4 linked regions of the Sus scrofa genome follow. The protein of the gene in region 1 purifies or fractionates together with the protein of each later gene. This does not show direct contact. Links are inferred from orthologs where the notes say so. Each region holds a gene or a part of one and is shown in the gene's direction. Other genes may lie near its edges.

Evidence for each region.
Region 2: the proteins of SCAP (region 1) and INSIG1 purify together in Homo sapiens (affinity purification with western blotting; 11 studies listed by BioGRID and IntAct, with this or other methods). This does not show direct contact. The link is inferred for Sus scrofa from reciprocal best matches to the Homo sapiens genes SCAP and INSIG1.
Region 3: the proteins of SCAP (region 1) and SREBF1 purify together in Homo sapiens (affinity purification with western blotting; 4 studies listed by BioGRID and IntAct, with this or other methods). This does not show direct contact. The link is inferred for Sus scrofa from reciprocal best matches to the Homo sapiens genes SCAP and SREBF1.
Region 4: the proteins of SCAP (region 1) and SREBF2 purify together in Homo sapiens (affinity purification with western blotting; 3 studies listed by BioGRID and IntAct, with this or other methods). This does not show direct contact. The link is inferred for Sus scrofa from reciprocal best matches to the Homo sapiens genes SCAP and SREBF2.

What each region holds. Positions count from the first base shown.
Region 1 is NC_010455.5:30,315,813-30,323,586, reverse strand, and holds the start of SCAP (sterol regulatory element-binding protein cleavage-activating protein), read left to right. Parts: upstream 1-3,042; 5' UTR 3,043-3,212; intron 3,213-7,774. UniProt on the Homo sapiens protein: Escort protein required for cholesterol as well as lipid homeostasis.
Region 2 is NC_010460.4:2,893,509-2,901,470, reverse strand, and holds the start of INSIG1 (insulin-induced gene 1 protein), read left to right. Parts: upstream 1-2,712; 5' UTR 2,713-2,788; intron 2,789-3,407; 5' UTR 3,408-3,429; coding exon 3,430-3,838; intron 3,839-6,523; coding exon 6,524-6,648; intron 6,649-7,755; coding exon 7,756-7,922; intron 7,923-7,962. UniProt on the Homo sapiens protein: Oxysterol-binding protein that mediates feedback control of cholesterol synthesis by controlling both endoplasmic reticulum to Golgi transport of SCAP and degradation of HMGCR.
Region 3 is NC_010454.4:60,738,085-60,745,907, forward strand, and holds the start of SREBF1 (sterol regulatory element-binding protein 1), read left to right. Parts: upstream 1-3,227; 5' UTR 3,228-3,336; coding exon 3,337-3,355; intron 3,356-4,683; coding exon 4,684-5,115; intron 5,116-5,512; coding exon 5,513-5,700; intron 5,701-5,782; coding exon 5,783-5,920; intron 5,921-5,997; coding exon 5,998-6,219; intron 6,220-6,812; coding exon 6,813-6,927; intron 6,928-7,105; coding exon 7,106-7,323; intron 7,324-7,536; coding exon 7,537-7,738; intron 7,739-7,823.
Region 4 is NC_010447.5:6,752,076-6,759,254, reverse strand, and holds part of SREBF2 (sterol regulatory element-binding protein 2), read left to right. Parts: intron 1-824; coding exon 825-1,256; intron 1,257-2,280; coding exon 2,281-2,462; intron 2,463-4,305; coding exon 4,306-4,452; intron 4,453-5,361; coding exon 5,362-5,583; intron 5,584-6,795; coding exon 6,796-6,910; intron 6,911-7,135; coding exon 7,136-7,179.

The sequences.
Region 1 (7,774 bases):
CAGCAGCGCCAGGTCCTTAACCCACTGAACGAGGCCAGGGATTGAACCTGCATCCTCATGGATACTAGTCAGGTTGTTAACTGGCTGAGCCACAATAGGAACTCCACTGCTGCTGTTCTTATCACCTGGCAAACTCTTACCTTGCTAGGTCCTATTTCTACATCATCCTCTTCGTGATTCCTACTCTGGTTCCCTGCTATCCCACTCCCTTCCACTCACAGCACTTGGAAGCACAGAGGCAGAAGTTCAGGGGCTTTGGGGTTGGTCAGATCGACGTTTGATGCTGCCACTGCATGAATTCAACAATTTGTTAAAGCTCTGGGTTCTTTAGAGTTTGCATCCTTGAAATGGAGTGTATCTTACCTGCCTCTAAAGGCCATCATAAGGATTACGCAAGGTAATATGTTGTAAAGCCCATCTCTGGCAAGGAGCCAACATTCAACAGTTTGTTGTTATTATTGGCTGCTATTATGACCTCTGTAATACTCCTTGTCATATTTGCCTCTATGGTTTTGTTTAAAGGTATGTGCTAATTTAACTTTGGTAGTGCAGAGAATAAATGTACATCCCTGGTTTCTGACACATGGTAGGAAATTGACAGCTAATAAAGGCAACATGGAGATTTTACTTTTTTTTTTTGGAGATTTTACATATTTTTATTGACTATCATGTTTATTAGAACAGTTGCTGCTTATTGGAATCTAAGCATTTTACATGTGTTCAGACTGATTTAATTGTTTGTGTTTGTTTTGTCTTTTTGCTATTTCTTTGGGCCGCTCCCACGGCATATGGAGGTTCCCAGGCTAGGGGTCAAATCGGAGCTGTAGCCACCGGCCTACGCCAGAGCCACAGCAACGCAGGATCCGAGCCGCGTCTGCACCACAGTTCACGGCAACGCCGGATCGTTAACCCACTGAGCAAGGGCAGGGACCGAACCCGCAACCTCATGGTTCCTAGTCGGATTCGTTAACCACTGCGCCACAACGGGAACTCCTGATTTAATTGTTTTGAAAACCAGAGAGGTCAGCTTCCTTGGTTGTTGCATCTTGGGACCTAACTCTTATGTCCAGTTTCCCTGAGGTTAAGTTAATTTTCCTGGCCACGAAGCAGCTTCTGCCGTGTGTCAGAACCAGAATTCAAATAGAGGGAATCTGAAGCAGCCCTTTCCACTTTAATCACGTTGTGAGCTTCTATTACTAATGCTTAATTCATGAGGAGCATGATCATTAGTGCAAGCGGTTGCGAAGACAGAGCTCTATCTTCATGAATCACCCTTCCCTGTGTCCCTGACAGGCTGAGGTAGCTGAGCAGTGGGCTGGAACCCAGAGTCCTGTGGCTGCCTGCTTGGTCACTTATCAGCGTGACCTCGGGCAAATATTCTCCCTTCTTTTTTGTCTTTTCTAAGGCCACACCTGCAGCATATGGAGGTTCTGAGGCTAGGGGTCTTATTGGAGCTTTAGGCACCTGCCTACACCACAGCTCATGGCAACACCAGATCCTTTACCCACTGAGCAAGGCCAGGGATTGAATCGGCAACCTCATGGTTTCTAGTCGGATTCGTTAACCACTGAGCCACAACAGGAACTCCCGAATATTCTCCCCTCTTAAGGAAGTTTTCTTTATTTGTAAAATAGACCCAGCCCCTATTTTTCAAGAATGTCATGAGGTTTGGCCCAGCATGGAATCTATGTACTGGGAATTATCCCTTCTGGATGATCCCTAAACTTCATTTATTCTTTTGCTTTTTTTTTCTTTTTAGGGCCACACCTGCAGCATATTGGAGGTTCCTAAGCTAGGTGTCTAATTGGAGCTACAGCTGCTGGCCTACACCACAGCCACAGCAATGCGGGATCCGAGCTGCGTCTGAAACCTACGCCACAGCTCACGGCAATGCCAGATCCTTAACACACTGAGCAAAGCCGGGGATTGAACCTGTGTCCCCATGATTCCTAGTCAGGTTTGTTAACCACTGAACCACGAAGGGAACTCCTAAACTTCATTTAGTTTTTTTTTTTTTTTTAATTTTGAATTTACCATGGGGAGCAACACAAAGTAAGGTTGAGCTTTGGCTAGATAGAGCTAAATGGAGCTCGTGGACAAAAAAAAAAAAAAAAAATTGCCTACCATTTCACTATTTTAAATAAGCAATGAATGTGGCCCATTGTCAAGCCATCAGTCACTGCAGCCATACACTTCCCATCAACGGTGCATCCTGAGGGGAATTCAGGATAGAGAAAAACAGGGTACTGGCCCTAGATATTAAAATGCATATCAGGAGTTCCCGTCGTGGCGCAGTGGTTAACGAATCCAACTAGGAACCATGAGGTTGCGGGTTGGGTCCCTGCCCTTGCTCAGTGGGTTAACGATCCGGCGTTGCCGTGAGCTGTGGTGTAAGTTGCAGACGCGGCTCGGATCCTGCGTTGCTGTGGCTCTGGCGTAGGCCGGTGGCTACAGCTCCGATTTGACTCCTAGCCTGGGAACCTCCATATGCCGCGGGAGCCGCCCAAAGAAATAGCAAAAAGACAAAAAAAAAAAGAAAAGAAAAATGGGTATCATGTGTTGTTTTTTTTTTTTCTTTTTAGGGCCACACCTATGGTACATGGAAGTTCCCAGGCTAGGGGTTGAATCCGAGCTGCAGTTGTCGGCCTATGCCACAGCCACAGCAATGCAGGATCTGAGCTGTGTTTGAGACCTCCACAGCAGCTCGCAGCAACCCTGGATCCTTAACCCACTAAGTGACGCCAGGGATCAAACCTGTATCTCCATAGATACTAGTCGGGTTCACAACCCACTGAGCCACAAGAGGAACTTCTCACGCACATGTTCTTGCTAATTCCCAGTAATGTGGTTAAAACTCTGGTGCTGTGCTCAGGTCTGTCCACCTCGCCCCGCCCCGCTCGCCGACCCTGCCCCGCCCCTCTCCCTCGGGTCAACTGGCCGATGTCCACCTGGGGGCGAGCGAGAGCCGCCGGCGAGGACTGGACTACGCATGCGCGCGCCGCTGGGCGCACGTGCGAAGAGCGGCGGGGGCGGGAGGGGAAAGGTAGGAGGTGAGAGGTGAAGGGGCGGAGAGCTGCGCGGGCACTGGGCCTCTGGGAGAGAGAGGGCGGGCGCCACGCACCGGACCGCGCGGGCTGGGAGCGCGCACGCCGTGTCCCGCCCCCGTCCTCGCCGTCGCCGCTGCAGCCGCCCGGGAGCTGTTTCCGCCACAGGTACCGCTGCGCGCGTCCACACGGCTTCTGTCCGCGGGCCGGGGCTCGGGCCTTTGGCGCGCGGCTCCAGGAGTTCCGGGATAGGGGCCGCCTGGGGCACCGGCGAGCGGGCGTGGGCGCTGTCCAGCAGCCATGCGGGCCAGGCCGGGAGACCGCAGCCTGGAGAGGGTGCCGAGTTACCGCGTCCCCACCCCCACCCCGACCGCGCCCCCCGTCGGGGCCAGCCGCGCGCCCACAGACCTCACCCTGGAACCCCAGACCGCTGTTCGAGAGGAGGTCGCGCCGTTGTGCCCCCTGGCCCCGCGGTCCCCCGGGAAGCTGCGGGTTCTAGAACCTCCTTTAATGTCTGGTTTTCCCAGAGTTCGAGGACGCTGTCCGCTCTTGTTTTTTCCTGCAAGATCTAATCAAGAGGCAACGCACAGCTTCTTTGCTGGGTTTTGCTTGGCTTCTAGTTTTCTGTATTGCTTATACCTAAACATTGCTCAGTGATGTTGCCTGTGTTTAGGTGGTTTTATTTCTTCAGTATGTCATCCAGGCTTGTAACGTCAGGATAAAATTAGTTGCAGGGAGCCCTGGATCCAGACTGTTTAAACTGCAGGTCGTTGTACAGGCGAAAATGCTCTTGGCCGAGGGGAGCAGAGAATCCCTTCCTGGCAAGAGTTTTCTGTTTTGTGCCACCTACTCCCCCACCCGTGGTGACAGAGCTGTGGGACTAAACTCCTTCTGGGGATTTTGTAATAATTTTTGTGAAGAGGACATGGAAAAGATTTCATTAATGATGCTAACTTTGGATTTCTCACCACATGTTTGTGGAGTTTGGTTGTGCGGTGTCCTTATTGGTGTGCTGCCGTTTCAGAGTATTGTGCTAAAAATGGAAGCTTTTATAAGGTAGTCAAGGTCAAGGGTGTCTATTTGGCTGTATGTTTTAGGTGTTACTGAATAATGCCTAATTGACCACTTGTTGTAGTAGTAGTACTAGTACTAGTACTACTAGTAGTATTGACCCCACTCACTTCATGTGAAAGTTCCCAGGCCAAGGATGGAACCTCTGCTCTGGTTGTGACCTGCACCACAGCTGTGAGAATGCTGGATCCTTAGCCCACTGTGCCACTCAGGAACTCCACACCTGTATCTTTTCTTTTCTTTTTTTAAATTTTTTTGTCTTTTTAGGGCCGTACCCTTGGTATATGGCAATTCCCAGGCCAGGGGTGGAATCAGAGCTACATCTGTCTGCCTAGGCCACAGCCACAGCAACACAGGATCTGCGACCTACACCACAGCTCACAGCATCACTGGATCCTTAATCCACTGAGCAAGGCCAGGGATGTAATGCATGTCCCCATGGAAACTAGTTGGGGTCGTTACCACTGAGCCACGACGGGAACTCCCCACCTGTATGTTGATAGAGTTTAAGTTGTAGGTATTTTATACATTTGCAGCATCCCCCCGGGCACATGATGTAAAAAACACAAGATATATATGAATTTATCTCTACATTCAATTTTTTGGTCATTTATTGAAATGCAAAAGATTATTTCTCACTTATTGTGAATTAGTCTGGTGTTTGAGAGCTTTCTGTTTTCTTTTTGCTGTTGTGGCAAAAACAACACCTCTCCATTGTTCTCCATGTGCTTTATAATCACTGGTTTTGGGGCCTCCTCTGCCATCATCTGGATTAGTTCACTGTTGAGAGGTGGGTATAAAAAAATCTCCTAGTTAATGACTAGAAAATGGAGGCATAAAGATTGTGAGTTGCTTAAGGTGATCTATGAACAAGTAAACTGTCCAGTTGGGAAATGAGCTGTACCTGTGAGTTTTGGTACACATTTCATTTATTAGCATTTGGTGATAGACTGCAGGGATGCTTACTTTGAATGTGTCCCAAGGACCCTGGCCTGACACTTAGGTTTATGTGATCTTTGTTAACCCTCACCATTGGTGGCCATTTGCTGGCCACCAGTGTTAGTTTTACTGGATTTGACAGGTACTTCCATGTACAGTTTGTGTCACCACTCCCATCGAACAGATGAGACTGCTCCCCTGCATAGAGAAACTGAGTTGCCATGGTCACCCAGGTTGTCTTTGGGGGTCAGACTTTCAAGCCAGGTCTGCGGGACTCTACCACCTAGCTACTTCTGCTGTTACTTGCTTCCTTCCTGAGTTGGATAAAGTCCAGGTGACTTTTGCCACCTGAAGGAATAATTCTGGGTAAAATATTTATTGAGCACTTGTGTTGTCTAGATTTCATGCTAGGTGCTCTAATAAGTTTATCTCACTTAATCATCATAATAGCCAGGGGAGATGACACTGTTATCATCAGTGCTTTTACTGATTAGTTCTGGAGATGTTATCTGACCAGCCCTGGGTCACGTAGTGAGTTAGAGGCAGAGGCCAGGTACAAACCCAGGTTTGTCTAACAATAGACTCCGTGTTTTATGCTGTTCTTGCACCTGCTGGTCCGCAGTCTTCTCCATTGTCTTCCACGTTAAAGGTAGCAGAAGAGGGTGTTGGGGTGAAGGGAGGAACTCAGTGTCACAGACTTGAGAAAGAGATAATGAAACTCAGCAGGAAGGAGACATTAATTTGACTATTGGGTGTTCCCATTGTGGCTTAGTGGGTTAAAAATCCAACTAGTATCCATGAGGATGCAGGTTTGATCCCTGGCGGGTTAAGGATCTCACCCACAATCTGTGGTATAGGTCTCAAATGCAGCTCGGATCCTGCATTGCTGTGGCTCTGGTGTAGGCCAGCAGCTGTAGCTCCAGTTTGACCCTTAGCCTGGGAACTTGCTGATGCCGAGAGTACGGCCTTAAATTTTTTTTATAAAAAAGTCAAAGAAAAATTTCGCTGTTGTCTTTGACATTGTCCACTTGACTGGTCAGGGGTACTACCTGAAAATGCTTGTGGGGTTGCTGGGTTATGCAGCTTTGCAGGAGAGTCCAAAGAGGGGGTATGCCTAAGCATCAGGGTGCACGTGGGTCTCAGGAGAAAAAAGAGAACAAAAAACAGTCTGTTTATTTTTATTTTATTCTTTATTTTTAGGACCACACTCGTGGCATATTAAAGTTTCCAGGCTAGGGGTCAAATCCGAGCTGCTGCTGCCGGCTTACGCCACAGCAACGCCAGATCTGAGCCGCATCTGTGACCTATACCACAGCTTGTGGCAACATCAGATCCTTAACCCACTGAGTGAGGCCAGGGATCTAACCTGCATCCTCATGGATTCTAGTTGGGTTCTTAACTCACTGAGCCACAGTAGGAACTCTCAGTCTTTGTTTTTAATTTATCATTATTGAAATTTTGTTATGGGAGTTCCCATTGTGGCTCAGTAGTAACAAACCCGATTAGTATCCATGGGGATGTGGATTCGATCCCTGACCTTGCTCAGTGGGTTAAGGATCGGGCAGTGCCACAAACTGTTGACATAGGTCACAGAAGCAGATCAGAATCTGCATTGCTGTGCTTGTGGCATAGGCTGGCAGGGGCAGCTCCGATTTGACCCCTAGCCTGGGAACCTCCATATGCCAAAGGTGCAGACCTAAATACAAAACAAAACAAAGCAAATTTAGTATGTATTTTTCTTTTTTTTTCTTTCTTTTTTTTTTTAGGGCCTCACCCACAGGCTAGGGGTCTAATTGGAGCTACAACTGCTGGCCTATGCCACAGCCACAGCAACGCCAGATGCGAGCCATGTCTGCAGCCCGTACCACAGCTCATGGCAACGCCAGATCCTTAACCCACTGAGTGAGGCCAGGGATTGAACCTGCAACCTCATGGTTCCCAGTCGGATTTGTTTCCACTGTGCCATGATGTGAACTCCTATTATGTATTTTATAATGTACACTTCATATTAGCATGGTAATGCTATAAATATAAATGTATTTATTTAATATAATACACATACACTTATAATATAATATAAATATTTATATTTAAATATGCGTACATTGAGGACATATGCTTGAATTTTCATTGTTTGGGGTTCATAATCAAAAACATTAAGAATGACTGGGTTATTTGATATTTAGCATTTTCTCTTTTTTCTTTTTTTGCTGCTTCATGGCATATGGAGTTTCAGGGACAGGGATCAAATCCTAGCCACAGTTGCAACCTATACCACAGCTGCAGCAACACAGCATGTGGAGGCTCCTAGGCTAGAGGTTGAATTGGAGCTACAGCCAACAGCCTACGCTGCAGCTACAGCAACTTCGGATCCTTAATCTACTGAGCAAGGCCTGGGATCGAACCCACATTCTCATGGATACTAGTCGGGTTCAGTAAGCAAGGAGCCACGACAGGAAGTCTACAACGCCAGATCCTATAACCTGCTATGCAGGTCCAGGGATTAACCCTGCATCCTGGCGCTGCAGAGATGTTCTGATCCTGTAGTGCCACAGCAGAAACTCCAACATTTAGTATTTTCTGAATATATATAAGGTGTGCTAACCCTTTGTTTCTGAGTTGGAGGTCTAGTGAAGTTCATTGTAACTCTCCATGATCAGAGAAAGGTTATTTTGTGTTAACAACCAGTCGTAGATTACTTTAAAAATTGGAGTCTGAGT
Region 2 (7,962 bases), on another chromosome or scaffold:
CAAGTAAAGAGCGGTCATCTCAGCTTACTTGGCCTCCTGTACCTGAACAGACCAGGTTCTGAAAGCACATGTGCCAGAGAGAAGCTTCCTGCATTTGCTGGTGCTTCCCAGTGGGATCCATGACTCGCCGACATTTCAGGGGTGAGGCCGTGCTGTACGTGCATGTCCTTGAGGTTAACAGCTTGGTTCATATCAGGGCCTCTCAGCCCGTGTGTGCAGGACTTGAGGCCGATGGAGGGCAGGGGAGGCCCAGCACAGGCTGATGGTTGAGGAAGGAATGGCTCTGGCCATACAGCCCCCCACTCTATGGAGGTATCATCGTTTATCTAACCATAGCTGGGCAGCTTTTTCTGTTCTGGCGGCCACCCAGTTCCAATGTTACTGTGACAGTCTGTGCATGTTCACACACACCCCTATCTTCACGCACTTGTGTACGATGCATTGGCGATGATGGCCAAGACCTGGATTCCTTGACGTCAAAATTGCTTTGAACAAAGCGTATGGTGCTGACTGGGACAGAGGAAAGCCTGGCGCTGCTCACCCGGAGGCAGAGCAGAGGATGGGGGCCCCTCTCCAGCCACTCTTGCTTTGTCTGGTCACGCTCGAGAAAAGAAAACAAGTCCCATTATTAGCCAAGGCCGTCTTGATGGAACATGATCGTTTGTGAGAGTCATTTCTGCTTATAATCCACAGAGACGACACTTTTATTTATTTATTTATTTATTTTTGTCTTTTAGTCTTTTGTTGTTGTTGCTATTTCTTGGGCCGCTCCCGCAGCATATGGAGGTTCCCAGGCCAGGGGTCGAATCGGAGCTGCAGCCACTGGCCTACGCCAGAGCCACAGCAATGCGGGATCCGAGCCGCGTCTGCAACCTACACCACAGCTCACGGCAACGCCGGATCCTTCACCCACTGAGCAAGGGCAGGGACCGAACCCGCAACCTCATGGTTCCTAGTCGGATTCGTTAACCACTGCGCCACGACGGGAACTCCCGACACTTTTAATTCATGCTTGAATCATAAAAGATGGGGTTAAATTCCTGCTGGCGTCATGGACAGCGGTAGGACATCTACACAACCAGGGTGTGTTTGGCTGGTAAGGCAGAGGTGACAGGGAAACCAGTACTGATCCTGGGGCAACAGTAACACACTAAAAAGGCAAATGCCTTTTTTTTTTTTAATTTAAAAATTTTTTTTCGGCCACTCCCTGCCATTGTGGACGATCCCGGGCCAGGGATCAAATCCGTGCCACAGCAGCAACCTGAGCCACAGGAGTGACAACGCCGGATCCTTAACCCACTGCGCCACAAGGGAACTCCACGGCAAATGTCTTCGCACAGCGCTGCCTGACCAGTCACCTAACGGATCACCCTTGGGGGCCAGGAGAGTGAGCCATCCACTGCAGGCATGGCTTTTCTTTGTAGTCTCCTGATGGCCATCACAAATTCATGTGAATTCCCACCCCATCAGCCCCTAAAAATGAAGTCTGAGAAATGTTGATACCTCAGGAAGGTTTTTTCCAACCTTCTGCCATAAAAACCACAAACCCTGAGGTACGATGCCACACAATGCAGTACTTGACACCGCCTAAGCCTGTGAGCTCTCTTGACCCTATTAGAGCACAGACTTCCTCTCACCTGCAGAGAGAAAAGGCCGCACACTTGCTCTACTGTCTTTCCAGGACATCTTAAGTATCTTGCTCAACAAAATGTGGGTTTCCAGGTGGCACAGGGCCTGCCCTGCTATTTAGATGGTGTGACCATGGGGCAAACAGGATATAAATACATTACATCAACAAGATAAAACAGCGTTCTATTTTTTCTAAGTGGTTCTGATGGTTTGTTTCCCACTGAAAGACAATTCGAAACGAGAAGAAACGATTTTATGAATGACGATTTCATCATTTACATTTTCGTAAGTATTTTATGTCAGAAAAGTTTTCTGAACCACGCTGGTGGCAGAAAAACATAAAAGCACCCTTAACAACACCTAGATCCTTGCACGCAGCATACACAGCTCTCGTCTCCGAGCCCTCGCTCCCTGCCAGCACCTGCTGGTCGCTGCGCACACGAACCCGCTTTGCATGAGCAGGTGCGGCCACCACTGAGAGAGCTGACAAGGACCAGAGGTCAGAGCATCTTCAGGGCACAGGCGGCTGCAGAGTGACCAAGTGGAGCGGCCGCAGGGGAGAGGCTTGCCAACCGCCACGCCTGGGTGAGGGTCCGGCGACCTAGCTGTTCAGCCGCCGGACTCCAGGCCCGCGGCTGCCAATCCCTGGAAATCGCCCTCTCTCCGCGGTCCGCCGGGAACCTGCGCGGGGCGCCTCCCACCCGGGGCCCCGGATGCTCTCGGCCGACCCCTGCCTGCCGTCGGTGCGGCCCCCGCCCCCGCCCCGTCCGGCCGCGCCCAGTTCCAGCCCCCGTCCCGGGCCGGGAACAGCCAGTCCGCCGCCGGCCGTCCGCGCTCCCGAGCCAGTGCGCCGAGCTCGGGGCGGCGGTGGCGTGTGATGACGTCATATGGGCCGCCCGCCCACGATTGGCCGCGGCCGCCTCACCAGACCGTGAGCGGCCGTGCGCGCGGCCGGGGCGGGGCGCGCATGGGCCACGCCCCGAGAGCGCGGGCGGGGTGGCGGGCCCGGCCGGGGTCACGTGAGCAGCGGTATCACCGCCCGCCTTATAAGCTGCGCCGCGCGTGGACGGCCGCGGGCTCAACTCCAGGCGTTCTGGGCCGCGACTCTCCTCGGCGACCTCCTCCCCCGGCGAGCCCGCGGGCGGGCGCCCTTGGCCAGGTACGAGGGTGCGGCAAGGGAAACTGGGCCGGGAGCGGTGGGGAGCCCTGGGGACGGGGATGTCGAGGTCCCGGCAGCCGCCCCTCTAGACGGCCTTCCATTGGGGTCCTCAGCACCCACCCTCGGGCCTGGGTGCGCACCCTGACTCCAGCCCCAGCCGCGGGGTGGGGGACTGCATCCCCGACATCAGGTGGGCTCTGCCAGGGCTGTTCTCCGTCCGGGACGACCCCAGCAACTTGTCCTGGGGCGGCCTGCCGCTGGCTGGCCTCTGCCTCCTGCAGACGGGCGGATTCTGAAAAACTTTTGGACTGTACGGCCCAGAACTTCAGGGCTCATACAAGGAGGTACTGCAGCGGGATCACCCAGGTGTAGCTAACACCTGGCTGTGGCTGCAGCCTGTGCATCACCCAGGGCCCGGGTGTGGACAGGGTCCTTGCAGCCCCTCCCCCGCAGTACTTGCCCGTGGGCTACCCTGTGCGGCTGACTCCCTGAGACTCGGGGGTTTTCCTGGCCAGTGAACGTGCCCAGAGCCATGTCTCTGGGCCTCTCTGAACCTGCCCTGTCCCTTGGAAGTGAACTTGATCGGGATTCCCTCTCCCCACCCCCGTTTTCCTTCTAGGAAAGCCTGTCAGGTGTGGCTGATGCCCAGACTGGACGACCACCTCTGGAGCTGTCCCTGTGTTAAGGGCACGAACCACAGAGGCCACCCCAGGGCCAGTGCCAGAGGGCAGGAGGCCAAAGTGGGGGAGATGATCAGCTCCTCTGTGTCAGGCCCCTCTCTGCTGGTGGCCCACGGTGCCCAGGGCCCTGACCCCTCTCATGCGCCTCAGAGCACTGGCATGGGGAGCCATGGTGGCAGCGGCCACACCAACAGCTGGCATCACCACCTGCTGCAGAGGAGCCTGGTGCTGTTCTCGGTGGGGGTCGTGCTGGCCCTGGTGCTGAACCTGCTGCAGGTCCAGAGGAATGTCACCCTGTTCCCCGAGGAGGTTATTGCCACCATCTTCTCCTCAGCCTGGTGGGTCCCTCCCTGCTGTGGGACGGCCGCTGGTGAGTAGAAACAAACGACGTCTGTCTGGTGAAAAGCGGTTTTCAGCCTGTGGGAACCATTTGTGTGAAAATGGAACCATCCACAGAGGAGACTGTGCATCCCAGCGACTGTGTTTGGGGAGGGGGCTTGGAGGCTGGAGGAGGCCCGGTGGTGGAGATGGCGGGGAGGCCACTGGCTGCTTCTCGCCCGCTCGTGCCAGGCTGGCCAGGTCCTTCCCTCTTCCTGACCCGGCCCTGAGGCCAGTGCTGGGGGAGCCCCGCAGCTGTCATCCTAACCAGCTGCCCGGATTGGCCGCGGGCAGGACTGGTGAGCGGCGGGGCTGGAGTGCCATTGGCTGCCCCGGGGAACACGCTACCGGCCCGGTAACTGAAAACAAACCGTCACGTGGGCCCAGTGGGCAGAGCTGCTGCCCCAGCCCAGCGGCCTCCTGCTCTTCCTTTTTTGGAACAGCCCAGTGAACGTGGCCAGAGCCTGGCCTTGCCCCCACCGCTGGGCTCTGGGATGAAGGAAAAGGAAGTCTCTGTTTAGAGTTTGGACAGGAGCCACCCTGGCCAGACCCAGTCGTGACCCCGGGGCAGCAGTCTGCTGTGGACAGGTGGACTGGCTGTTTGGAGTAGAGTTGCTCAGTTATTTGGTTGCTCAGTTATTTGGTTTTATAAAAATGGCTCAGAAGGTCACTCAGTTCTTCCGGTCACACAGCATTTGCTGTGGACGAATTAATGGATGAATGGACACCTGCCGGGTGCTCTCTGTGGCCTCCGCCCGCCTGGCTGTAAAGCACGGAGCAGACACTCCCGTCGGACAGCCTCGCGTTGTAGCTCCCCTCTGTGAACTGCCGACCTCGCGGGCTCTGATCTTTCTCCTTTTTTCTTCTTTTTTTGGCCGCGGTGCGTAGCCACTTGATGTGGGGTCTCAGTTCCCAGACCAGGGACTGAACCCCGGCTGCAGCGGTGAAAGCGCCACGTCGGCCCCACGGGCCACCAGGGAACGAGCGCCCTGCCTCCTGTTCCGTAGGCTGTGCTTCCTTTGGTCCTTTCAGCAGTGCTCTGCTTCAGCGCCACTGCACAGAGGCGAGAACTGAATCAGAGAGGTGAAGCTCCTGTGTCTGCAGGGGCACAGCGGAGTGACAGGTCCCCGTTCGCAACCCTGCCTATACTGCCCCCTGGAGTCTGGGTGTGTCCCCTGCACCCTGGAGAGGGGCGTCTTCTCAGCAGGCTCACTTCAAACTGCAAGGAAGCAGTGGGCTTGGAGTGGAGCTTGTGTCCTAGGCAGGATGCCTCATGACGGGGACACTATGGTGATGAAGCAGAGAGTGGAAGGTTTTTCTCTTTGTTCTCAGAAACACTGGCTACTGTTGTTTTTCTAACCCCTTTAAGTTCATGGCTCTACTCTTAATCCTTTTGGAGAAACATCTCTTTCTATTCACATTTGGCACAATAGTTTCTTTGAATCAAAAGCTTGATTTTTAAAACCACTGAACCATTTTAGTTTAGGCTTGATTTGCAATTGAAGCTTCAAGGAATTCCAGGCATATCTGAAACACAACTTCTCATACCTTACTCACTTTTTTTTTTAAACCATCCGTCAAGGGCATAAGGGGAGAAATTCCATAGTACATTTTCACTTATTTAGCTTTTAACCTTAAAGGGCAAGATTAAGTTATACTGACTTGAGTCACAGAATGGTTGGGGTTCATTTTTCAAAATGCAAAAGCAGAACTGGATAAAATGTAATATGAAATTGAAACTGAAACTCTTTCATTGAATGCTGGGCCACAGTGTGTTTCTGCCCATTGAATGCTGGGCCACAGTGTGTTTCTGCCTGCCTCTCTGTTCAGGAACCTGAAATGGTTCCGTCTTTGCTGGGACGGCAGGTGCTGCACGCTCATGAGCCTCAGCAGCGGGGTGACCTCACGAGGGCCCTGGCACCACACCCTCTTCTCTCCTGCTCTTCCTTCCTTCGACTTCTCTCTGGAGCGCCACGCCTTCCCCCGTCTGAGTTCTCTGTGAAGTCCCACGGCTGAGGACAGCCTCACTCTTCTGAGCACACTACGCGCTCCCTCCTCGGGCTTCTCGGTCCATAATCCTCATCATCTTTCGCTTGAGGAAACAAACAGGAGGCGTCCGGTTCCCTCCTTTCCCACGCGATGCCCCGCTCAGGGCCTGGGCTCTGGGACCGTCGGGTGTGGCTGCCCCGGGACCCCGACCCACCACAGCCCGTGCTCGGGGGCTCCTGCGGAAAATGCAGGAACCCCTAACAGGGCAGTGCTGCCTCCGGGGATGGCGGTGAAGGCAGATCCACAGAGAGGTGCCCTCATCAGTGTGGGTCGTGATCGATGGCAGGCCGTGCTGTGGCCTCCGGGCCCTCATGGAAGCCCCTCTGCACTGAGATGGAGCAACACCGATGCAGGCCGAAGGCCGACTGCACAGGCGCTACAGGGTCCTGCACGTGCTAAGTAGCCCCTGCTCCATTCCTGCTATAGGGCAAACCAAACTGCAACTTTGTTTTAAATTTTTATTGTTTATACTCAAGAAGGATAAAAATGTAAAATTAGTTTTAATTGAAATATCATATTGTAGCCCTGAAGTCAGGAATGTCTGACCAGCGTGTTAATAATTGCCGCAGAGCCATCACCCCACGTCGAGGCCGTTTCTCTAACCCTGCTGTCTGCCCTTCTTTCACAGCTGTCGTGGGCTTGCTCTACCCCTGCATCGACAGCCACCTTGGAGAACCGCACAAGTTTAAGAGGGAGTGGGCCAGTGTGATGCGCTGTGTAGCGGTTTTCGTTGGCATCAACCACGCCAGTGCTGTATCCTTGAGTGGGTGTGTGGTCCAGAGCAGCTTCTGGTGTTACACGTTGAATGTTTCATTACTCGTGTGTGTGTGTGTGTGTGTGTGTGTTTGGCCAGTGCCAGCTACAGTTCTTCTGTACCACAGTTATAAGCAGAGCCACAAACAACGGTGACAACGCCGGATCCTTAACCCCTGGTGCCACAAGAGACCTCCTTAATGGGTATACGTTATCTCGTGAGCAGTTGAACAGTCTTCTGGGAGTATTATTTTTAAGCACATTGCTCAGTTTTCTTAGTTTGTTTTGTAAATGCCGTTGCATTTCTACCTAGCGTCTTCCCACCGTGAAGCCCTGCTCTGGTGGACCAGGAAGAAGTGGCCAGGGGGTCACTCTTCATGGGGCCACTTCTTTGGAGACCCCAGAGGGCCCAGGCCAGCCCGCAGCACCGGCCCTCGAAGAGGGTTCTTGGTTGAAGCTGGCCGCAGGATGAAGTTTGCCAACCCCAGTGGCATGCGTTACACAGAACACACGGCCTGTCTGTACTCAGTGCGTTTTTCAGGAAGACAGCCATGGTTTTCCGGGTCTCAAAAGATGTGCGGCTTCTTTAGCACAGCTGGAGTATGTTTTTAAGAGTTACCCTTTCTGAAATCGGCTCCACCCTGACTTTAATGCTAAGGGTCAAGGGAACCGCGAGAGGCCTGGGCTCCGACAGGGGTGTGGTGATGGAAGCCGATGTGCCTCCACCAGCGGGAAACGTGCTGCGCTGAGCGCCGTCTGTTGAGGGTCTTCCCGCGGAGGTGGGCGCTCCGTTCCAACTACCAGTCAAACGCGAAGTACAAGTGGGGCCACACCTGACTTACTTGCCAAGTATGTTGCTTTGTGGTTGAAGTACCAGCAGAATTTATATGTAGCTCTCAGAAAAGGGATCTGGAAAGTCAAGTTTGGGCCCAGAGGTCCTCGAGCAGGTTCCAGGCCATCGTGGTCACGGTGACCCTGCACCCAGGAGATGGTTTCTGCAGCTCACTCAGCAGTTTCTACGGATGGAGGCCTACCCGGTGCTTGGGGGTTGCTGGGGTTTGACCATTTAAAAAATCATGAAACTGTTCCTTAACTTTGCATCACCAGAAATTGGACTTTGCCAATAACGTTCAGCTCTCCTTGACGCTGGCAGCCCTGTCTTTGGGCCTGTGGTGGACATTTGACCGCTCAAGGAGCGGCCTCGGGCTCGGGCTCACCATCGCCGTCCTCGCCACGCTGATCACGCAGCTGCTGGTGTACAACGGGGTCTATCAGTAAGTGTGCCCGTGCCCTGCCCCGTCGGGAAGCCGTCAC
Region 3 (7,823 bases), on another chromosome or scaffold:
AGCCCTGTGTTGAGGGATTGGGGGGTCGCTGGGGGGCTCTTGTCATGGTGGTTAGGAGGGCCTCCGAGAGGAGGAGGTGCTGGGGCCGAGCCTTAGAGCTTTGTGCTTGCCTGAGTGGTGGCCGCGAGTTGGGGCAGAGCCGTGCTGGTGTTGGGGCCGAGGGGTGTGGGCTGGGGGGCTGGCAGGCCTGGGTCGAGTCCCAGGTCCTCCACCTGATTGCTAAGGGACCTGGGCCTTGCAGCCTCCCTCGGAGCCTTGGTGCCCTCATCCTGCCCAGGTGCGTCCGGGGCGCCAGCCTGGGGCCATCCTGTTCCAGGAAGAGCAGGTGCACTCGTACCCCTGGGCAGCCCTGCGCACACAAAGCGCAGCCTGTGCCCCTTGCCACATGACCAGCTGAGGACATGCGAACCTGCCGACCCGGTCCTTGGGGGCTCGAGGAGGCACTGCGGGGATGGCTGGCCAGCAGGTGCAGCCCTGCTTCCTTCCCTGCCCGCGCCCTCCCTCCAGCGGGCAGAGCTGCAGAGGGGCGGCTGCTTCATTCCCTCACATGTCTTCACAGCTCCGCGGACGTGGAGACCCGCTTGCGGATCCCTGAGAAATGGTGTGCTTGGCCCTAGCGACAGACAGCCACGGGTGGAAGCCACACTGGCCTCCTCCCACCTCAGGGCCTGTGCACTTGCTGTCTCTACTCAGATGTCCCCTCTTCAGAGAGGCCTGCCCTGACTGCCTCGGTTTCCCCACGGTGCTCGGCAGCACCTGTGCCTCCACTCTTCCATGTATCTGCAGACTGTCGGTGTCCCTTTGCTAGAACGTAAAAGGCCCACAAGGGAGGTCTTCAGGCTGTGTCCCTGTACCCCAGGGCTCAGCACAGGCTGGACATGCAGTAGACGCTTCGGAATTGACAGTCGATATTGTCAGTGAAACAGATCTGGGCTTCATGGACCAGGTCATGTGGGGAAGGTGGTGAGCTCCCTGTCCCAGGAGGCATGTAAGCACAGTTTGGGGTTCAGGGTCTCATGCAGGTTGGATGGGCCATGGGCTCCTGTGATGGTCAGAGCAGGACTCGTGCAGGCTCGTGGTGTGGGGTGTTCCCAGGATTTGCAGCATGGCGCTCCCAGAATAAACAGGCCTTTAGAGGGAGGTTTGAAGGTAGAGCCAGGGAGGGCGGGAGGGGGCTCAGGTTTCCTGTTGGGTCCTGATGGAATCCGGGCAGGAGAGGAGGAAGGAGAGGAAAAGGAGGGTCTGGCTTGGGGAGGGCGGGAAGGTGAGGAGGGGGGCAGGCGGGCCCACCTGTGCCTCTCTTCCCTGCGTTAAGGGCACGCGGGCCGCCCCTCCTGCCGGCAGCTGAGCCTGGGCTCACTGGAGGTTGGGCCCCACTTGGGGGGAACCCTGGCCAGCCTTTCTCCCGGGAACTGGGGTGAGACAGCGGGGAGCTTCCTTAAACAGTGTGCCCTGGGCGCCTTTCTCGCCTCCCAGAACCCCCTCCTCCGAGATCAGGGGTGAGGGACTCCCCTGGGACTACACAGCAAGGGAGGGCTGGGGCGCAGGTCCAGCCCCTCTTGGCCCTGGCACCCGGCTGCTGCAGAAATTGGCTCTATGTGTGTGTGTCACGGGGGTGGGAAGTCCAGTCGGGCCATGAGTTCAGGGGTGGCCCTCTGCATGCCACCAGGTGCCTGTTCCTCACTGCATCTTAGCTTAGGTTGTGTCTCCCGGCCTGCCTGGGGTGGGCCCCAGGAGGTGGCGGCAGGGCCGCTGGGAGCCTCTCCTTCTGCCTCCTTGGTCTGGATGCGTTGGGGCAGGGCATGGCCAGGTGAGAAATGGGAAGCACAAGAGTGCGGAGAAGGGCAGAGGAAGGTGGCTCCGGTGGGGCGGCCGGCCACGGCCCTGCTGGTCCACCTGCCAGGTCCTGGGCTCACACACGGGAGCACAGTGAGGACAGGACCTGCCGTGAGTTTGAATTCAGACCTCGTGTCTTCTGGTCTCAGTCAGGCGAGGTCAGAGCCTTCCCAACAGCAATGTCTTGTGTGACTTTTCGGGTGAGGGCCTGGCAGAGGAGAGAGGGAAGTGGAGGTGCTGGAGAATTCTGCTGCCCTCGTTACCCTCCCGCACGGCCGTGGCCACGGCAGGAGCCGGGCAAAGGGGGAGCGTGTGTGTGGGAGAGGCAGCCTCCTGGAGAGGGAGAGCATCCGGCCAGGGCTCTCCGGCCCCCACCTGCCACCGGCCCCCACCTGCCACCGTCGGCTCCATCGGCCCCTCTAAGGCTGCGGGAGACCAGGAGAGGGAGCAGGGCTGGGCCCAGCTGTGGCTGGAGGCCGGCTTGAGCCCTGGGGTCTGTTTGGCCGCAAAAGCCCAAGCTGGCAGCCTGGGCTGCTGGCCAGGCTCTGTCCCTCTGAGTGTGTGGCGCTCTGACCTTCGAAGCCGAGAGAGGCCCAGGTGGCCCCCCAGCGACCCCGAGCCTGTCACCCTCCGCCCCAAGGCCTGCCCCACCCCACAGCGAGTGAGTCAGGCTCCCCCCTGAGACTGCTGGGGAGTGTGGGGGTGGGTTCGCCTTCCCGGACCCCCACCCCAGACCCTGGCCCCTCTGCAGAGGGCGTCAGCTCTGGCTGTGCACTTGCGGTGGGGCTGTCCCTTCCGCACTCGCTCAGGCTCCAGGCAGTGGCCCGGCCCCGGCCCACGGGGTGGGGACTCACGCTGGGGCTGCCGTGAGGGGGAGGTCCCCGCCCCCACGGCCAGACAGCCCTTCGCCTCACTTGAGCCTGCACCCATTACTTGTCCCCGTCGATGCAGGGAAACGTGCTCGTCCCATTTTCCCGGAGCGCACTGCGACTTAGCGCGGTTGAGACCCGCGGCGGAGGGCTGGGCCATCCCTGGCCCACCCCCGGCCCCGCGCCTCTCAGCCCCCGCAGCCCCTTCGGCCGCACTCTCGGAGATGGCGGGACGTGACCGCCAGTAACCCTGCGGACGTCGGCGCGGGGCGGGTTAAGGGCCGGCGTCCGCGAGTAACCCCGGCCCTCTGCGGCCCCGCGGGGCGCAACCCGAACCGCGCGGTGGGGGTGGGGCGGGGCCGGGGCGGGGCCCCGGGAGGCGGTGGCGCGGCCGCTGATTGGCCGCGCGCGCTCACCCCATGCCCGGCCCGCGGCCCCGGGGCGGGGCCGGCCGGCGGGGCGGGGCCCGGGCGGGGCCGGCGAGGGGCGTGGCCGGCGGCGGGCGCTCGGGGCTTTCGCTGCTTTAAAGCGCGGCGGGCCGGCGGCCCTCGGCCGGTGGAGTCCGCGCGCGGAGACCGGCGGGCCAGCCGCCTGGACGCCCCGAGGGGCGGCGGGCGCGGGCCGCGGAACCATGGACTGCACGTTCGAAGGTATTTTTTGAGGACCCCCACCCCTTTATAGCAGAGCTTCCGTCTCCGCCGTGGGGTCCGTGCCCCCGTGCGCAGGGGGGCGGCCGGAGCTCCGAGTGAGAGCCCGCTCCTGAGGGGAGGAGCACCCGCTCCCGGCTCTCCGGGGACCTGGCGGGCCCTTCCCACCTCCGCAGTCACCCCCACCCCAAGCTCCGAAGCGAGAGGGCAGCTCTCCCACATCCCCTGCCGCCCAGGGAGAAGGGCCGCTCGGGCCCCCCTTTGGGGGCGTATGGTGGGCTTGCCGGACGGACAGTGGAGCCCTGGGTTCGGGCGCTTGTTCTTTCTGGGCCTCAGTTTCCCCATCCGTGGAAGGGGCTCAGGAAGCCTGGGCGAGGGGCTCCAGCCGGTGGAAGCAGCCTGTGCCAGTAGGCTAAGGGGTCTCCGAGGGCCCAGGAGGGCTCAGCCTGGCACCCCCCTGCCCTGCTCTGCCGGAGGTGTCGCAAGGCCCCCTGCGCAGTCACTTTCCCGCCGGAGCACCTGTCAGGCAGTGTCGAGGCCCCTCTCCTGCCGCTGGCTGCCTGCCTGCGGAACCTCTGGCTGCCCTGCCACAAGGGCTTTCATCTTGCTGTTGTGCACATGAGGAAACCGAGGCCCAGGGGCAGAAGCCACTGGCCCACACCCCACCGCCCGTCGGTGGTGGGCAGAGCTGGAAGCTCAGGCTGGGGATCACACTTGGGGTTCCCACAGTTTGCTCATGGGCCTGCAGAGCACTCCGACCCAGTGGGTGGCTCCCCCAGTGGGTTAAAGGGCCCTGGGCTGACCCAGCCGGGCTGCTACTTGCCTTCTGGGGGAGAGGGCCCGTGGCCGGGCTGGGGCTGTGGGAGGGAGGGTGTCCCAGGCGGCACGAGGAGGAAGGGGAACAGACAGCCAGAAGCGACTGCTTCTGTGGAGCGGAAGCCGAAGCCCAAATGGCCGGTTCCGAGGCTGCCTGGCTGCAGACGGGGCTTGGGCTTGTGCCCAGAACACGCAGGGATGCACTGGCTGGCGCACGCGGGGCAGGGGCTGGCTGGGGCTCCCCAGAGGGCTGGGTTGGGGAGGCAGCTCTGGAGCTGGTAGTCGGGGCCCAGGCCTCGGAGGGCCTAGCCTGCGTGGCACTGGCTCGTCCAGTGTCGCAAGGCTGTTTGATGCACCAGGCAAAGCTCCAGATGTCACAGGGGCCAGGGCACATCTGTGTCCTCGAGCATGGGCGCCCGTGTGTGGCTTTCTGTCTTGGTGGCGTCGCTCCCACGTGTTACCACGGTGTGGACGAGGGCCGCGCAGATCCGTGACGCCGCCTCTCCTCCCCTCAGACATGCTTCAGCTCATCAACAACCAAGACAGCGACTTCCCCGGCCTGTTCGACGCGCCCTACGCTGGCGTTGCAGGAGGCACGGACCCCACCAGTCCTGATGCCAGCTCCCCAGGCAGCCCGACGCCGCCTCCTTCCACCATGAGCTCCCCGCTTGAAGGCTTCCTGGGGGGGGCCAGGACGCCGCCACCGCCCCCCGTGTCCCCAACCCAGCCTGCACCCACCCCGCTGAAGATGTACCCGTCGGTGCCTGCCTTCTCGCCTGGGCCGGGCATCAAGGAGGAGCCAGTGCCACTGACCATCCTGCAGCCCCCCACCCCACAGCCCCTGTCTGGGGCTCTCCTGCCCCAGAGCCTTCCAGCCCCCGCCCCTCCGCAGTTGAGCCCTGCCCCCGTGTTGGGCTACCCCAGCCCTCCTGGAAGCTTCTCCTCAGGTAAGGGGGCGTGTGGAGGGAGGGGGCAGCGGAGCACAGGGTCAGGGGGCTGCTGTGGTCTGACTGGAGGTCCCACTTGGTGGCCTTTGGGAACAGGGTCCCTGCTCTGCTGCTTGAGGCGCCCCCGTCCCTAGCAGCACCCGGGCTCCTGTTGCCGGCGCACTGCCCCTGCTCCCCTGGTGTCCGCAGCAGCGCTGCCCTTGCGCAGATAAATGCGTGGCTGGGAAGCCAGCACACTTGCATCAGAGCCCCAGGCAGGGCCTGTCCAGATAGGCCTGAGGCCACAGGGGTGGTGACTCATCCAGGGTCACACGGTGATGAGGACGGGGCAGGACGGGGCGGGTTGAAGGTGGGTCAGGGCGGCCTGTGTCCACAGCCCCAGCCTTTGTCTCTGCAGCGACCCCTCCAGGGAGCACCTCACAGACGCTGCCTGGCCTGCCGCTGGCCTCTCTGCCCGGGGTCCCGCCCGTCTCCGTGCACACCCAGGTCCAAAGTGCGGCCCCCCAGCAGCTGTTGACAGCCACGGCCACCCCCGTGGTGTCCCCTGGAACAACCACTGTGACCTCGCAGATCCAGCAGGTCCCGGTGAGGGGGCTGGCCAGGCACCAGGGAGGTGGCAGTCCCGGCCAGCCCCTGAGCCCCCAGCTGAGCCCTCTGCCTTCCTTAGGTCCTGCTGCAGCCCCACTTCATCAAGGCGGACTCCCTGCTCCTGACGACCATGAAAACAGACATGGGGACCCCTGTGAAGGCGGCGGGCATCGGCTCCCTGGCCCCTGGCACAGCCGTGCAGGCAGCACCTTTGCAGGTGGGCAGCTCGGGCCAGGCAGGGGGCATGGGGTCTGCATGCATGCCTGCCTGCCCTAACCGTGCCTGGGCCCGCAGACCCTGGTGAGCGGCGGGACCATCCTGGCGACGGTGCCTCTGGTAGTGGACACTGACAAGCTGCCCATCAACCGCCTGGCAGCTGGGGGCAAAGCCCTGAGCTCAGGCCAGAGCCGTGGTGAGAAGCGGACGGCTCACAATGCCATCGAGAAACGCTACCGCTCCTCCATCAATGACAAGATCATCGAGCTCAAGGACCTGGTGGTGGGCACGGAGGCGAAGGTGCGGGCAGAGGCCCTGGCAGGGCGGCCCTGGGGAGGGCCGCCTGGAAGGCAGAGGCGGGTGGGGCTGAGCCTGGACAGCCAGGGCCCAGGGGCTCCGTCTGTTGAGCTAAGCTTCATGGAGGCGCGTGTGCTGCGGGCTCTCCTAGGCGCTGGGGACTCAGCAGGAACAGACAGGCACCCCGCTGTCAAGCACCTGTGCTCCTAGCAGCGTGCCAGGGGCGCCAGCAAAGAGGACAGATGGCCTGAGTGCTGTGCCAGAAAGAACGAAGCAGGAAGAGGGATGGTGGGAGTTTCACATCTGAATCGGGGTCGGGGGGGCCTCACGACGGTGTCGTGGTCTGAAGGGGGCTCGGGAGCGAGGCATGAAGGTGGTGATGACAGTGACGACAGTTAGTCAGACGCTGCTGTCAACCCTTAGGCCCAGCCTGGCAGGTAGGTTCTACCAGGGCAGGAACCTTCCGTGCAGAAGGAATAGCAGGTGCAAAGGTCCTGAGGCCGCTGTGTTGCGGAGCAGCCCCGCTCCCTCTGGCTCAGGTGCCCGCTTGTCTGGCCTGACCAGCCACCTGTGCTGTCCCCCTCCTACCCCTGCAGCTGAATAAATCCGCCGTCTTGCGCAAGGCCATCGACTACATCCGCTTCCTTCAGCAGAGCAACCAGAAGCTCAAGCAGGAGAACCTGAGTCTGCGGACTGCTGCCCACAAAAGCAGTGAGTCCTGGCCTCTCTGGCCCCGCCTGCAGCCCTGTCCCCACCCTGGTCTCACCTTAGGCTCTGGCCCTGCCAGGGCCCTTAACCCCTTCCTTGGCCTTCGCCTGGCCCTCCGCTCAGATCTGGGGCGAGGTGGGCGTGGCGCTGCCGCCCAGCCCTGCTCCTTTCTGGCCTGCAGAGTCTCTGAAGGACCTGGTGTCCTGCAGCAGCGGAGGCCGCACCGACGTGCCCATGGAGGGTGTGAAGCCGGAGGTGGTAGACACCCTTAGCCCGCCCCCCTCCGACGCCGGCTCGCCCTCCCAGAGCAGCCCCTTGTCCCTCGGCAGCAGGGGCAGCAGCAGCGGTGGCAGTGGCAGTGACTCAGAGCCCGACAGCCCGGTTTTTGAGGACAGCCAGGTCAGGCCCCGCAGGTCGCCCCTCCCCGTCATCTGGCAGTGTCCTCTGAGCCACGGGGCTGGCTCAGGCCCGGGCACGTCCTGCCTCGCGTTTCGCAGACAGAGCCCTGTGGGGCCCCAGGGTGGCGCACGGAGCACTGACCCCTCCGCCCCAGCCCAGCTTTCTGGCCACTCCCGCCCCGTCCTCACCCCTCCTGCCCCGTCTTCCCCCCAGATGAAGCCAGAGCAGCTGCCGGCCCCCCACGGCCGGGGCATGCTGGACCGCTCCCGCCTGGCCCTGTGCGTGCTCGTCTTCCTCTGTCTCTCCTGCAACCCCTTGGCCTCACTGATGGGCAGCTGGGCTCTCCCTGGCCCCTCCGATGCCACCAGCGCCTACCACGGGCCCTGGCGCAGCGTACTGGGCGCTGAGGGCAGAGGTAGGCAGGCCGGCCGTGGCCGTGGGAAGGAGGCTCCTGCGGATCTGGGCTTGGGGCTCTGGATTTCCTGGGAGCTGTGTCCTCA
Region 4 (7,179 bases), on another chromosome or scaffold:
CAGAGGGAAGGGACAAAGCCACAGGAGGCCAGGGTGAGGCCTCCACAGCTGGAGTCCAGGGCCCTGGTTGTTCTGCCCTGACCTTTGGATGACCTTTGGACCGTGAATGTGCCAGGGTGCTGGGAGGCAGAGAATGGGTTCTAATCTTTGCCGTGTCCCGATGAGCCGTGTGACCTTGGCCAAGTTATTTCCCTGTTACGGACTTGGCATCGGATCTTCCCATCCATTCCACCTCTAAAGTCCCGTGACTCAGGGACCGTGGACTTCATCACCCCTGAGTGTTTCCGGGGTACAGCAGTGCCCAGAGACATGCTCAGCTTGGAGAGAAGGCCCAGGGCCTGCCCGCGGTGAGCAGAGTTAGGGTCTGGCACAGCTGTGCAGCCAGAACCACATGGCTCCTGCTCCGCCATGGGGAGCAATGCCAAGACTGGAGGTGGCTTCACAGCACAAAGGCCTCAGAGCTCCAAAGACTAAGGAGAGCGATGACCCCAGCTGTAGAAAGGGACCAGCAGTGTCCTCCAGAAGCTACCCTCGCCCAGCAGAGATAGCTCCTATTAGGCCTGATACAGACAATCAGCAGAGTGGGTAGGAAGGGCCTGGACGTGGTAGGGAGAGAGAAGGAGGTCAGACAGATGCAGTTCTGTCCCAGTCTGCCTTGGTGGGCCAGCTCGGCCCAGTGGCATCCCCCTAGGGGAGGGAGGTGACCCATTTCTGCTGTGGTCCTGGGAAAGCTGTTGGATTTCATGCCTCATTTCTTAAGGCATTTTGAAAGTTAGTAGGCAGTTTGGGTGGCAATGAAAGTATTCCTTTCCATTTGTTCACAGAGATGCTGCAGTTTGTCAGCAATCAAGTGGGAGAGTTCCCCGACTTGTTCTCAGAGCAGCTGTGCAGCTCCTTCCCGGGCGGCAGTGGAAGTGGCAGCAGCAGTGGCGGCAGCAGCAGTGGCGGGAGCAGTGGTGGCGGAGCCGGGGACCCCTCAATGCAGCGGTCCTTCAGCCAGGTCCCGTTACCTTCCTTCTCTCCCTCGACCACCTCCCCCCAGGCTCCAGCCCTCCAAGTCAAGGCTCCCCCCACTTCGGTTCCCACGCCGCCCAGGGCGACCCCTGTTCTCCAGCCCCGCCCCCAGCCCCAGCCCCAGCCTCCTGCTCAGCTGCAGCAGCAGACAGTCATGATCACCCCGACCTTCAGCACCGCTCCCCAGACGAGGATCATCCAGCAGCCTTTGATATACCAGAATGCAGCTACCAGCTTCCAAGGTGACTCCGAACTCCACACGGGAGTGCTTGGTTGGTTCAGAAGCTTACATGCCAGCGTGCAGACACTCGCGAGGCAGACTGTAGCGTTCTTTCCCCTTGGGGCTGGCAGGATCTGTCAGTTTGGTCCCGTCTGAATGAGGCTTTGGTAACTGGCAGTAAGACGAGTGGTGCCAGAACAGTTCACATTCAGCCTTTTCAAACAGCTTAGATGTCTGCTGTGCCTGCTTCAAGGATACTTGGTCAAAGACTCCAGCAGGCACAGTAGACCCAGGGCCGTCCTGGTAACTCGAGGTGGAGGCTTAAATCAATTAGTCTTGAAACTTACCCAGGCACCAGGCACATCTCAGCACCAGTGGGTTGAGAACCACTCATCCAGCAAGCATCTCCTGAGCATCCAGTATGGAGAAGACTATGCTTCTTAACCGAGGCGCCGTGTCTCTGTGTCGCTGGCCTCACAGTGGGCCCTTGGTGTGCACTGGTGAATGAGTGACTCTGGGTGCTGTGCTGTGTCCCAGCACCTTTCATCACATTTCCCTCCAACCCCGTGGGGAGCCCTGGGTGGGATTACTGTTGCTCCACTAATTCCAGAGGCTCTAACAGTTCTTCTGTGGGCTTCAGGGAATTTAAGGGCTGGGGAGGCAAAAAGCAAAAGGCAGAGTCAGTCATCCCAAAGCACGCTTGCTGTTCGTTGCCTGGGAGGAAATGAAGCCCCAGGGAGGTGTTGGTTCCTTCCCAGAGTCTGTTCACTCCCTTGCCGGGTGCAGTCATTTGCCGATGAGCCTCCCTCACCTCCAGCCCAGCACCCAGAGCAGTAAAATCATTTGTACTGTTCTCTTGGAAGTTGATGCAGCCCTCATGGGGTGTTCGTGCCCCCTAACCAACTTGTAGATGGCTGTGCACATCTTCCTGCGCAGTAGGTGGGAAGGTGCGGCAGCGTGAGGCCCTCCGTCCTCAGCTCGTGCTGCAGCCACAGTCACAGAGTGCAGTCCTCGTCCAAGTAACTTTTTGCTCCTCTTCTCCCAAGTCCTTCAGCCTCAAGTCCAAAGCCTGGTGACGTCCTCCCAGGTGCAGCCGGTCACCATCCAGCAGCAGGTGCAGACCGTGCAGGCGCAGCGGGTGCTGACGCAGACGGCCAGCGGCACGCTGCAGACCCTCGCCCCGGCCACGGTGCAGACAGTTGCTGCGCCCCAGGTGCAGCAGGTCCCGGTAGGTGGCTGACAGGGAGTCAGGGTGGCCCCAGTTGGGGCTGTGGGCTGGTCTTTGGTTTGGTCTGTGTGCTGAGGCCAGCAGAGTGTAAGGGAGCAGCTTGTAGGGCAGGTAGAGGTGCCTGAACCTTAGCGAGGCACCCCTGAGCCCCAGGCAGGTCGCGTCTGTCGGTGAGCACTGGCACTCCCACAAACTCGGTGCCTGCTGGTGTACGCGCTACACGTACAAGGGCTTTTAACCTGGGAAGAGGGAGTGCTGCTGCTCTGGTGGTTAGGACTGGGTGCTGTCAATACTGTTGCCCAGGTTCAGTCCCCGGTCTGGGAACTGAAATCCCATGTCAAGCTACCACATGCCACAGCCAAAAGAGAAAAAAAACAAAACTGGAAAGAAGTGTGCCAGAATATCTTTAAGTCTGTACTATAGCAGACTGCCTTTCTCCCTTCCTTCCTTCCTTTTCTCTTTTTCTTTTTTCTCTTTCTTTTCCTTTTTTTTTTTTCTTTTTACAGCCACACCTGCAGCATATGGAAGTTCCCAGGCTAGGGGTTGAATCAGAGCTTCATCTGTGACCTGCACCACAGCTTGTGGCAATGCCAGATCTTTAACCCACTGAGCGAGGCCAGGGATTGAACCCACATCCTCACAAAGACAATGTTGCATCCTTAATCCCCTGAGCCACAGTGGGAACTCCATAGACTGTTTCTTTTTTTTTTCTTTTTGCCTTTTCTTAAGCCACTCCCACGGCATATGGATGTTCCCAGGCTAGGGGTCGAATCAGAGCTGTAGCCACTGGCCTATGCCAGAGCCACAGCAACGTGGGATCTGAGCCGCGTCTGCCACCTACACCACAGCTCACAGCAATGCTGGATCCTTAACCCACTGAGCAAGGCCAGGGATCGAACCCACAACCTCATGGTTCCTAATCGGATTTGTTAACCACTGTGCCACAACGGGAACTCCTAGATTGTTTCTTACTAAGGAAGTAATTTACCTTTTCTTAAAAAAATTGAGTTTCCATTGTGATTTGGCAGACTAGCGTCTATGAGGATGCAGCTTCGATCCCTGGCTTCACTCAGTGGGTTAAGGATCCGGTGTTGCCATGAGCTGCAGTGTAGGTTGCAGATGCAGCTCAGATCTCCAGTTGCTGTGGCTGTGGTATAGACTGACAGCTACAGCTCTGATTCAACTCCTAGCCTGGGAACTTCCATGTGCCATGGGTGTGGCCCTAAAAAGCACAACAACAACAAAAATTGAGGTTTACCATTTTTGCTTCTCAGCCATGTTTCTAAGCATTCCTAAGTTGCCTGAAATCGGCTCTCTCCCTCCGCCATCCACCCCAAGCCCTGCCTGCTCTCTCCCTGCTGCTGGGCCACTGGCTCTGCTCTCCTCAGCCTTTAGCCTTAGGACCCAGAATCCTCTTTAATGGTACTCGTTCTCCCCCTCCACCTAGGAATTAATCTGTCTTCTCAGTTTTATAAAACTTCTATCATTCTTTCCTAGAGGGTCCATGTAGTAAGAAGTAATACGAGGTAGAGGAGTTCCCATCTTGGCGCAGGGGAAACGAATCCGACTAGGAACCATGAGGTTGTGGGTTCAACCCCTGCCTCACCCAGTGGGTTAAAGATCCAGCATTGCCCTGAGCTGTGGTGTAGGTCGCAGATGCGGCTCGGATCTGGCATTCCTGTGGCTGTGGTATAGGCTGGCAGCTGCAGCTCCGATTAGCTCCCTAGCCTGGGAACCTCCGTATGCAGTAGGTGCGGCCCTAAAAAGACAAAAAGAAAAAGAAGTAATACAAGACAGAAAAATCATGCTACCTTCCTTTTCCTTTTCTTCCTTTGGCTTCCAGGTCCTGGTGCAGCCTCAGATCATCAAAACCGATTCCCTTGTTTTGACCACACTGAAGACAGATGGCAGCCCTGTCATGGCTGCAGTCCAGAACCCAGCCCTCACTGCCCTCACCACCCCCATCCAGACGGCTGCCCTTCAAGTACCGGTAAGAGATGCCCCCACCCCCTTTCTTGGGGGTGTTAGGCCTCAGAGATGTTAACGAAATCTCCAGATGCTGAATAGATGCAGAAGCTCTAGAGTCAGATTGAAAAATCATCCCTTTTGGAGTTCCCTTTGGGGCTCAGCAGGTTGAAAACCTGACATAGTGCCCGTGAGGATGTGGGTTCGAACCCTGGCCTTGCTCAGTGGGTTAAGGATCTGGCGTTGCTGTGGCTGTGGTGCAGGCCGGCAGCTGCAGCTCCGATTCAACCCCTAGCCTGGGAATTTCCACATGCCGCAAGTACGGCCCTAAAAAGCAAAAATAAAATTAAAATTAATGAAAATAGGAACAAAGAGTGGGAAAGCAGGTTTGAGGGGGATCCCTCCCTCTGTAGTCTGTTTAATAAAAAGCCTCTCTTGATTGTCAGTTCTGCCCTTGAGCTTTTGATGGTCGAATTGTATGAGGAAATGCAGTAAGTTACTTCTCCGGCATGAGAGAGGAAAAATGTGTCCTACACCAGGAGAAAGCTTTCCTTAGGGCCAGTGATGTGGTTGGTGCGCCACGTGCGAACGCGGGGTGGTAACAGCGTGACAGCAAAGCATATGACGTGATTCAGACGCCCCTACCTCAAAGGTCAGCATTTACTCAAAAACAGAAAAGAAAAGGTTAGCATTTATCTGTGCTAATGCTAGTGTGGCCTGTGATTAATCAGCAGTGATTTGGAAAGGGGCAGAGCACCTGAGGTACGGTGGCTCCTAAGGCTCCTGAACCTGATTTAACCCAGGAAGGCAGTCAGACCACACAGCGCATCTTCAGGTGGTGCCACGTGGCCGAGGCCAGCAGGTTTGTGTTTCGAGGTCGCTTTCCTCAGACTCACCAAGCAGTCCCTCTGCTCTGCATCTGTGTCTGTTCTAGACCCTGGTGGGCAGCAATGGGACCATTCTGACCACAATGCCTGTGATGATGGGGCAAGAGAAAGTGCCCATTAAGCAGGTGCCTGGGGGGGTCAAGCAGCTCGAGCCCCCCAAAGAAGGAGAAAGGCGGACGACACACAACATCATTGAGAAGCGGTACCGCTCCTCCATCAATGACAAAATCATTGAGTTGAAGGACCTGGTCATGGGAACAGATGCCAAGGTAGGTGCCAAGCAGAATGGCGTTTGTGCCCATCATCTCTCCCGTCTTTGCTGCGGGAATTCAGGGAAGAGCCAGGCCCAAGCTGAGTGAAGGCAAGAAAGTTAGAGGTGCTTTCTTATTAACGCATCTCTGTGTCTTAAATTCCAAGATGATTAAATATTAACCGTCGGGGAGCTGGTAAAGCAGTGGCCTGCCTGGACCTTTGACTCTGCTCTGCAGTGATGGTCACAGACACCGGCTGCTCACCGAAGGCCAAGTACCCGGCCGAGTGTACCTTTGAGTCAGCTAATGGCATTTTTGACATGTGTTTGATTGTATTCAGGGATGGCTCGCAATATTTTAACCTTAAGGGAAGAGACAAAATGGCCAAGAGCAGGTAGAGTAGATTGGTTTTTCATACCTTTCTGGTGTTGCACTGAATATATCTTTTGGCTTTGGCACATAGGAGTTTTTTTTCCTATTATCTGTTTATTTTTACCTCTATTTTGCAAGAAAATGTAATTTTCCTTTTAGCCTGCAAATCTGAAAGGTACTAATATACCTTTACTTAACCATCCAGCAGTGCTCTGGTCTTTTGCTTGCCATTTGTTTTCCTTAAAGTTTGTTTTGATGCTAGAATTATTATAAGAAGTGGGAGTAAGAGCTAATATTTAGTGTTACTGTGTGCTAGGCCAGAGTCTAAGCTCTTTACACATATTATTTCATTTAAGCCTCACGGCAAGCCTATGACTCAAAAACTGTCATTATCACTCTTTTATGGAGAAGGAAAGTGAGGCTCAGGGAGTTTCCATCATGACGCAGTGGTTAACAAATCCGACTAGGAACCATGAGGTTGCGGGTTCAGTCCCTAGCCTTGCTCAGTGGGTTAAGGATCCAGCATTGCCGTGAGCTGTGGTGTAGGTCACAGACGCGGCTCAGATCCCACGTTGCTGTGGCTCTGGCGTAGGCCAGTGGCTACAGCTCCAATTCCACCCCTAGCCTGGGAACCTCCATATGCCTCAGGAGCGGCCCTAGAAAAGGCAAAAAAAAGTCAAAAAAAAAAGAAAGAAAGTGAGGCTCAGAGACATTGAGTAACTTGTCCTGGGTTGCACAGTTAAAAGTGAGAACCTGAACCCTGCACCTCCCACTCCAGAACCTGAGCTCAGGGCCTCTGCTCTCCTCACTGCAGGCTGATCTGATGCTGCTGTGTTTTTCACCCATCTCCCTTCCCAGATGCACAAGTCTGGTGTTTTGAGGAAGGCCATTGACTACATCAAGTATTTGCAGCAGGTCAATCATAAACTGCGCCAGGAGAACATGGTGCTGAAGCTGGCAAATCAGAAGAACAGTGAGTGTGCTCGTTGAGAAAAGGGTTTCAGATCTTCTGGTTGTGGGCCGAGTCCTGTGCTGGGCACGGGGGACTTCTCACCGATATGTGTAGATGCCCTCAGGGGCGAAGCAGGGGCAGGGGCAGGGGCAGGGGCTGGGGTGGTGCGTCCCTCACCCAGCCCCGCCCCAGCCCAGGTGGGACGTTGTAAAGCGGACCATGTGCGAGGTGGGCTTTTCTTTGCAGAGCTCTTGAAAGGCATCGACCTGGGCAGCCTGGTGGACAATGAC